2 linked regions of the Daphnia pulex genome follow. The protein of the gene in region 1 binds, or shares a complex with, the protein of each later gene. Links are inferred from orthologs where the notes say so. Each region holds a gene or a part of one and is shown in the gene's direction. Other genes may lie near its edges.

Region 1 (4,338 bases):
TTCGTTATATGAAAGAGCTTCTTATATTTTAGTTTTCGATGTGGAAGCGAATATCACGCTCCCACCGATTGTGAAACGATTCGACATTGGCTGACCAAATGTGCAGATGATAGCGAAACTGCCAACTACATCTCTGCTCATACTAAGGTAAGGATAACTCAAATTTTCATTTAAACGAAAATAATGCTCTTAACGGTCCATCTGCTTGTTACTAGGTGTGTCCCAAGTGCCAAATTTGTATAGAAAAGAATGGAGGATGTAACCACATGCAATGTTATGGCTGTAAACATGACTTTTGCTGGATGTGTCTGGGTGATTGGAAGACTCACGGATCAGAATATTACCGTTGTTCACGCTATGAGGAAAATCCCAACGTAGCCAATGAGTCTTCTCACGCTCGGGCCAAAGAAGCCTTGAAAAAATATCTCCATTACTTTGAAAGAGTAAGTTACTAGAAATTGGCCGATCAAAACTTTGTACTTTTATTGCTATTTTCGAATATTTTTTAGTGGGAGAATCATGCAAAGAGTTTACGATTGGAGGAGCAAACATTGCAACGGATCCGTGAGCGTATTCAGTGTAAAGTCATGACCGGCACAGATGGTACTTGGATTGATTGGCAGTGTTTATTGGATGCTGCCGCCTTGTTGGCACGCTGTAGGTATACTCTTCAGTATACTTACCCTTACGCTTACTACATGGATGCAGGTCCTCGAAAGGAATTGGTGAGTGATTCGGAAAACGTTAATGCCTTTTTACCAATATTAACGTTCCCACGTCTGTTTATGTTAGTTCGAGTACCAACAGGCTCAGTTGGAAGCCGAAATAGAAAATCTATCGTGGAAAGTGGAACGGGCCGAAACGACCGATAGAGGCGATCTGGGCATTCAAATGGACGTTTGCGAGAAACGGCGCACCACGCTATTGCAAGATTTCCTAGAGTCGTGAAATATTTGCTGGTTAGCAAATGGATTGAATAGGATTTGAAAATTTTTACCAACGCGCCTGTAACTACGGTCGATAGGTTTTTGGCTTTTACCTGTCGCTTTAGATAGGAATCGAAATTGCGATTGTCTATTGTCATTTGATATTTTTCGTCCTATACGTTTATCAGTTGTCCTCAACGTTTTTTGTTTTTCGTTTTTTTTTACTGCGAAATTTTCTTTTTAGTTTTGTTTCGTATTCCCATAGTAACAAATGAATAAATTGCATCACTGAAACGTTTACTATTTCCCTTTTTCTTATATTGTCTGAGCAATTTTTTATTAAATAAGGTGCTGGATACTCCGTTACCCTTGTTTATTAAAAAAAATTATTCAGCCCCATAAATTTTGAAATTTTTTTTTTTATCTTCCATAATTTAAGTGCCTAAGGGGTTTCTTTTCAAAAACACTTCTGTAACGAGTTGTAAAACGTTGGCGCCAGGTGTCTGGCCAGTTGTCATTTAGTGCGTGGTCTGAAAAACGACAACAAAAATGGACTAAATGTAAAACTTTGTTTAATATAATTGGTTTCTTGAAATAGAGAAAAAACAGTGTGTGAAACAATATAACATACTTGTTATTGTATTGTAATAAAATGGGTCTCGACTTTGACATTCGTGAGTTTCTTAACCACATCAGAGCAACTAAACCGCCGTATGAATGCCCCGCGAAAGACTGCGGCAAAATCTACAAAAGTTTCGCGGGCATTCAATTCCACTTGTTTAATTTCAATCATGAAAATCCTGGTAGTTCTTTACCTTCATCAGAATCACCACAGCAGGTTTTGACTTTTGCAGAAGCCCAGAAGATTGTTGAACTTGAAATTGATAGCAAACTTCAAAGGATAAACATTTTTGACTCCATAAGCTTTGTGGGCAAAGAGGACTATGAGAATGAAGTGCCTATGAAAAATGAAGAAACACCAAGCCAAGACTATGCCAAAACTCCAACAAGTAAAAGTCACACTCCAAAACATCTGCAGAAAAAGACCCCGAAGCCAGTTGAACCAGTGGTTCGCAAAGAAGAAAAAGTCTCCCCTCCTAAGCTGCCGGAGGCATCATTTTCCATCATCGAAACATGGAGCCAGCCAGATGCCCCAGAAAGACCAAAGTCTTACTATCGCTTCATTGAGAAATCTCCTGATGAAATGGAAGATGAAGTGGAATTTGATATGGACGAAGATGATTTTACTTGGCTAGAGTTGATAAACAAACAAAGAAGATTTGAAAACCTTTCTGAAGTAAACCCAGAATCATTTGAATTGCTAATGGATCGACTGGAAAAAGAGTCTTACTTTCAAATGCAAAGTTCTGGGAAAGATCAAGGTTTTTATTTCTATTTTTCTTTATTAAGTCTGCAAAATAAAGATGTCTAATTTGAGAAAAAATATCTAACTAGGACCACCTATCGATGAGGACGCTGAATGTTGCATATGCATGGATGGAGAATGCCAAAACAGCAATGTGATCCTCTTCTGTGACATGTGTAATCTCGCTGTCCACCAAGAATGCTATGGTGTCCCGTATATTCCTGAGGGCCAATGGCTTTGTCGTCGATGTCTACAGTCACCTTCACGAGCGGTTGATTGTGCTTTGTGTCCAAATCGAGGAGGTGCTTTCAAACAAACGGATGATAACCGATGGGCTCATGTAGTTTGCGCTCTGTGGATACCAGAAGTCTGCTTTGCTAATACAGTAATAACGTTCAATCTTCTCATATCATTGCAGAGATTACTAAGCATTTTATTATTATTATTATTCAGGTTTTCCTTGAACCGATCGACAGCATACAAAACATTCCTGCCGCTCGTTGGAAATTGACGTGTTACATTTGTAAGCAACGAGGAGCTGGATCTTGCATTCAGTGTCATAGGGCCAACTGTTACACGGCGTTCCATGTCACTTGTGCGCAGCAGGTATTGTTACGACTGTAATTAAAGCATATTTATCAAAATACTTACTTGAACTCTTCTAACAGGCTGGGTTACACATGAAAATTGACACGGCCAAAGACTCACCAAGCAGTGGACCCAATATCAGCATCCGTAAAGCGGCCTACTGCGATGCTCACACACCAGCCGATTCTGATTCAAAGCCATTGGTCGGTGATCACGGAATAGGTGAGGTTATTCGCAAAGCGCAGTCGAAAGCTGCTTTCCGCGAGAAAATGCGAAAGGCTCGTAAAATCCTGGCAGAGAAACGTTCTGCAGCTCCTATTATTTCCATCCCCACTATACCTCCTGAACGCGTCCAGGAAATCGCTTCTTCCGTTCCCCAAATTCAAGGGAAAATTCGGTATTTATATTATTGTCCTACCGCAAAATAAATTTCTGTACTAATGATATTGTTTGATCTAGATTTATCCAAAGATTGATTGCCTACTGGACTCTGAAACGGCAGTCCAGGAATGGTGTGCCTCTTTTACGTCGTCTTCAAACAAGCCATCCTTCGCGTAGGCCAGCATCTTCAGCGGCAACGGGCTCTGGGTCTGGATCAGGATTGGGCGGTGATCAGATTGTTCAGCCTGACGATCTCTTAGGCCAACTGCGTTATTTTCAACGACTTCGTCAGGATTTGGAACGAGCTCGGCTGTTATGCGAGTTGATTCGCAAAAGAGAGAAAACGAAGCGAGAATTGATGCGGATTAAAGAGAAGGAATTGGAACTCCAAATCTATCCGTTGCAGTATCTAATGCGACGTTTGTTACAAACTCTGAAGGAGCGTGATAACAACGACATTTTTGCCGATCCGGTTGACATCAGCCAAGTCCCCGACTATCTCGATTTTATACAACAACCGATGGACTTTTCGACAATGCAGAACAAGTTGGACGCTGGGCAATATCCAACGCTGGAAGCTTTCGAAAAAGATTTCAACCTGATGATCCACAATTGCACTGTCTATAATGCACAGCACACCATGTATTATAAGCAAGCAATCAAGCTCAAAGAAGGTGCTCAGGTTCTATTTAAACAACTTCGAAAGGATTTGGAAACATTAGTCATCAGCAACAACAATTGCGACAGTAGCAGCAACTTAACTCCACTGCCACCGTCGGAAATAAGTCAACCTGAAAGCAAAGTCGAAGAAATCGATAAGTACGTCTCGGAAAAGTATCGTGAATCTGATACCCTTGAACAGCAGCTTTCGAAACTCGAAGAATTCCTGCGTAAAGCTCAACAAATGCCAACTGGACCCCTCAAAGTTAAACGAATCCGAATTTTGAGAAACGAATTGGCCAAAGTTCGTAGGAAATTGTCTTTGCAAGCTGGCGGGAGAGCGGCTGCTACCCGGAGCAGCAGTAGCAGTCCATCGAAATCACGACCTGAAAATGAAACACGTGATGAAGGCAGCAG
Region 2 (3,582 bases), on another chromosome or scaffold:
AGGCATCTAGCATAACGAGCTTCTCTATGCTACTATTCGATGGCGCCACCGCTCGGATTGGCCCGCGGACCAGGCGTTTGTCCCATTTAAAAAAATGCCTCAGTGGGTTCCCATATTTTTGATGTTTTTTCCTTCAACCCGGGCAGTGGCCCGGGATTTCAAGGCCTGGGTTACAGCCCTTCAGAAGAATCATGGATCTCTCCATACCAAGGGCTATGGTCCGTGACGTGAAAGCCCGGGACATGTCACGGGAAAAATCCTGTCCCGTATGGAGAGACTCCATGCCCTTCTACATGCCTTATGTATGGAAGAATAGGGTTGTGGTCCGGAGGTATTTGGGCGGTTTTTTTACATGGGTTGCCTAGATGGTTTTTTTTTAAACATGGGTTTGAGCAGGTTGGGCCAATAGCGTAAATGGGTCCGCCCCACGGGTCACAAAAAATTTAGTCCGGGTCACGGCCCGGATAAAAATCTTAACAAACTTTTTTTTACCCTAAATTTCCCTAAATTTCTTAATTATCTTCTTCTTCCAACAGTTACACTTCAATGCTTTCTTTTGAACACCCCTGAACGCCCTATTCTACCACTTATCGTACTTTTCATTCAATGCGGTGGCAATATTTTTAGGTCTTTCTTGAGGCCGCAGGCATTTTGAATAACGAGCTTCTCTATGTGACTACTAGATGGCGCCACCACTCGGGTTGGCCCGCGGACCCGGCGGTTCGACCCGTCGCCCGCCCCGTACAAAAAATGCCACGGTGGGCTGATATTATTTTGAGGTTTTTTTTCTTTAATTCGGGCTGTGTCCCGGGCCACAGCCCAGGAAGAATGAAGAATGGGATTATGGGTAGGGCTATGGCCCGGACGTTTTTTAGCGGGTTTTTTTTAAATGGGTTTTTTAGATGGGTTTTTCTTCTTCCGCGGGTTGGAGCGGGTTGGGCCAACAGAGTAAATGGGTTTGGCCCAGGCCGACCCATGGGTCAAAAAATGTTTACCGGCCGGGTAACGGCCCGGGTAAAAAATCGGGTCAAACACACTTTTTTTTTTACAAACTTTAAAAAATTCCCTAAATTTCTTAATTATCTTCTTCTTCCAACAGTGAGACGTCAATTCTGTCTTCTGTTCACCCCTGAACGCCCTTTTCTACCACTAATCCTACTTTTCATGCTACGAAATTCTCGTAGAGCATTTGGCGGCAATCTTTTTAGGTCTTTCTTGAGGCCGCAGGCATAGAGAATAACGAGCTTCTCTATGTTACTACTAGATGGCGCCACCGCTGGGTTGGCCCGCGGACTCGGGGGTTCAACCCGTCGCCCGCCCCGTTAAAAAAAATGCCTCGGTGGGTCGAGTCGGGTTGGGTTTTTTTTCGTTCAGCCCGGGCGGTGGCCCGGGTTTTCATCGCCCGGGCCACAGCCCTAATTATGGGAATGGGTTTAAACGCGCAATGGTCAGAAGAGGCCTCAAATAGAAAAACATACGGGTCACTAGCAAGTAGCCAACTAGCAAGTTAAAGCTTTTTTTGTTTACGTTGATCCAGAGGAGGGAAAGAAGCCTAGCTGATCTAGCAGTTGATTTGATAATCGAGTACCAAGTGAACGAAAGAACAAATTAAGTTGCAATCTGAGCCATTCCAAATTCAAGCCAAAGATTTGCTTCCTTCTGAAAATTTGAGTTTTGACTTTATAACTTCTGAAAATGACAAGTGCAGTTTACCTTGAGCACTACTTGGACAGTAAGTCTGAAAGTTTCTACCAATAATTTTATCGATGGCCACCGGTCGTTGCTAAGATATCAAAAAATGAAAGCAAAAATGCACTTTGTATTGAAAAATTATCAAAATTTAGGTTTAGAATCGTTGCCTATTGAACTACAGAGAAACTTTTCTCTAATGAGAGATTTGGACAATCGAGCACAATCCTTGATGAAAGAAATTGATTCCCATGCTGAAGACTACCTAAAAGTAGTCTCTCAAACAAGTCCAGAAAAAAGAAAAGAACAAATGGAAAGGATTCAGAAGCTTTTCAATAAAGCAAAAGAATATGGAGATGATAAAGTCCAACTAGCCATTCAGACTTATGAATTGGTTTGATATTTACTCAATTTATAGTTATGAACTAATTCTATTTGGTCTTATTAGGTTGACAAGCACATCAGGCGTCTTGACTCTGATCTGGCGAGATTTGAAACAGAAATTAAAGAGAAATCGTCTGTTGCAACACTCTCAGCAGAAGAGGATACTCCACCTGCAGTCAAAAGTAAATCAGTAAAGTAAAAAATCAATAATTCAATTTATTCTATCATAACTTTTTCAATCACAATATAGAAGACAAAAAGAAAATGGTGGAAAAAGTTGAAAAGAAAAAGAAAGGAAACAAAGCAAATATTAGCACTGCCTGTGAAGCTCCTGTTAAAGGTTTAAATCCATACAATTTAATTATACTTAATAATCTTGATTAAAAAACCTTGATATGAATAGTTGATGAAGGCCCAGCTCGTAAAAAATCTAGTAAGAAGAACGTTGCTGTTGCAACGACTCCAGAAAGCTCCTCCTCTTTTGGACTCTCTACCATCGGGCATTCGGCTGATGTTCTTGATATGCCGGTAGATCCGAACGAACCCACTTACTGCCTTTGCCACCAGGTTTCTTATGGAGAAATGATTGGCTGCGATAATCCTGACGTAAATCATGAAAACAGTTTTTATGCACTCCAAACTTGTAATTTGCTTTTTGCTATTTATAGTGTCCAATCGAATGGTTTCACTTTGCCTGTGTCAGCCTAACAACCAAACCGAAGGGGAAATGGTTCTGCCCGAAATGTTCCGCCGATCGGAAAAAGAAGTGAAGACTGAAAATTAGTTGTTGTATCTCATTGTCATTGCTCATTCGAAAATAATCCACATGCCATTATCGGTTTTTTAAATAAACTTATTGCTGCTCCGTTTAACGAGGTAATTTAAAATCAGGTCTTTGTAATTTTTTCTCCCTTTATTCAATGGTTTTAGACTTTTTATCGAGGAATGGTTATGCAAGACGTCTGTGTCACATTGACCTTGAATCCACATTGTTATTTGTTGTCTTAAGTCGTAACAAGATACTTAATCCCGTTGTTTCCATTTAACAACCGCTGCATCGAATTCTCAAGTACACGTAATTGTTAAGCGAATTAGAACATTAAGATCTCTTCGATTTTGGTTCTACTAGATGGGAAAGCATGAATGTCTGGGTCAAAACTAGGTATAAAATAAGTTCGACAGCATCCACTAGATCCACATTCTGGTTTGAGCTCTCTTCCTGTCAACAGTGTCCGCACTAGCTCTCCAGTCCATCAAGAATGAAGGTATGTCCCGTAAATTAAGAAAGTTTATGTCGTATATATATGTCACTCATGTTTTGTTTTTTTTTTCTTTTTTTCTTTATTTGTGTTGCAGTATTTGATCTTGGCTGTCATTTTTTGCCAAGTTCTTTGTCTGCTAGCAGACGGTGAATTCGACGAAAATGTTGCTGATCTACAGGATGGTTTTGATGAATCGCAAACATTGGCTCGGCCTCGTCACTTCAGAATGGAAAAGTACCAACGGCAT

What was found.
Region 2: bromodomain-containing protein 1-like (region 1) and inhibitor of growth protein 4-like share a complex: the UniProt entries of both Drosophila melanogaster proteins name them as parts of the enok complex. The link is inferred for Daphnia pulex from reciprocal best matches to the Drosophila melanogaster genes Br140 and Ing5.

Annotation. Positions count from the first base shown.
Region 1 is NC_060023.1:7,792,896-7,797,233, forward strand, and holds the start of bromodomain-containing protein 1-like, read left to right. Parts: upstream 1-1,401; 5' UTR 1,402-1,578; coding exon 1,579-2,308; intron 2,309-2,381; coding exon 2,382-2,677; intron 2,678-2,745; coding exon 2,746-2,898; intron 2,899-2,960; coding exon 2,961-3,277; intron 3,278-3,339; coding exon 3,340-4,338. Other genes in the region: potential E3 ubiquitin-protein ligase ariadne-2-like, read left to right, coding at 33-147, 216-443, 510-725, 793-948. UniProt on the Drosophila melanogaster protein: Scaffold subunit of the histone acetyltransferase (HAT) Enok complex which has histone H3 acetyltransferase activity.
Region 2 is NC_060018.1:8,154,854-8,158,435, reverse strand, and holds inhibitor of growth protein 4-like, read left to right. Parts: upstream 1-1,455; 5' UTR 1,456-1,695; coding exon 1,696-1,732; intron 1,733-1,844; coding exon 1,845-2,083; intron 2,084-2,137; coding exon 2,138-2,255; intron 2,256-2,323; coding exon 2,324-2,413; intron 2,414-2,476; coding exon 2,477-2,679; intron 2,680-2,741; coding exon 2,742-2,843; 3' UTR 2,844-2,960; downstream 2,961-3,582. Other genes in the region: uncharacterized protein LOC124210402, read left to right, coding at 3,333-3,338, 3,430-3,582. UniProt on the Drosophila melanogaster protein: Component of the Enok complex which has a histone H3 acetyltransferase activity.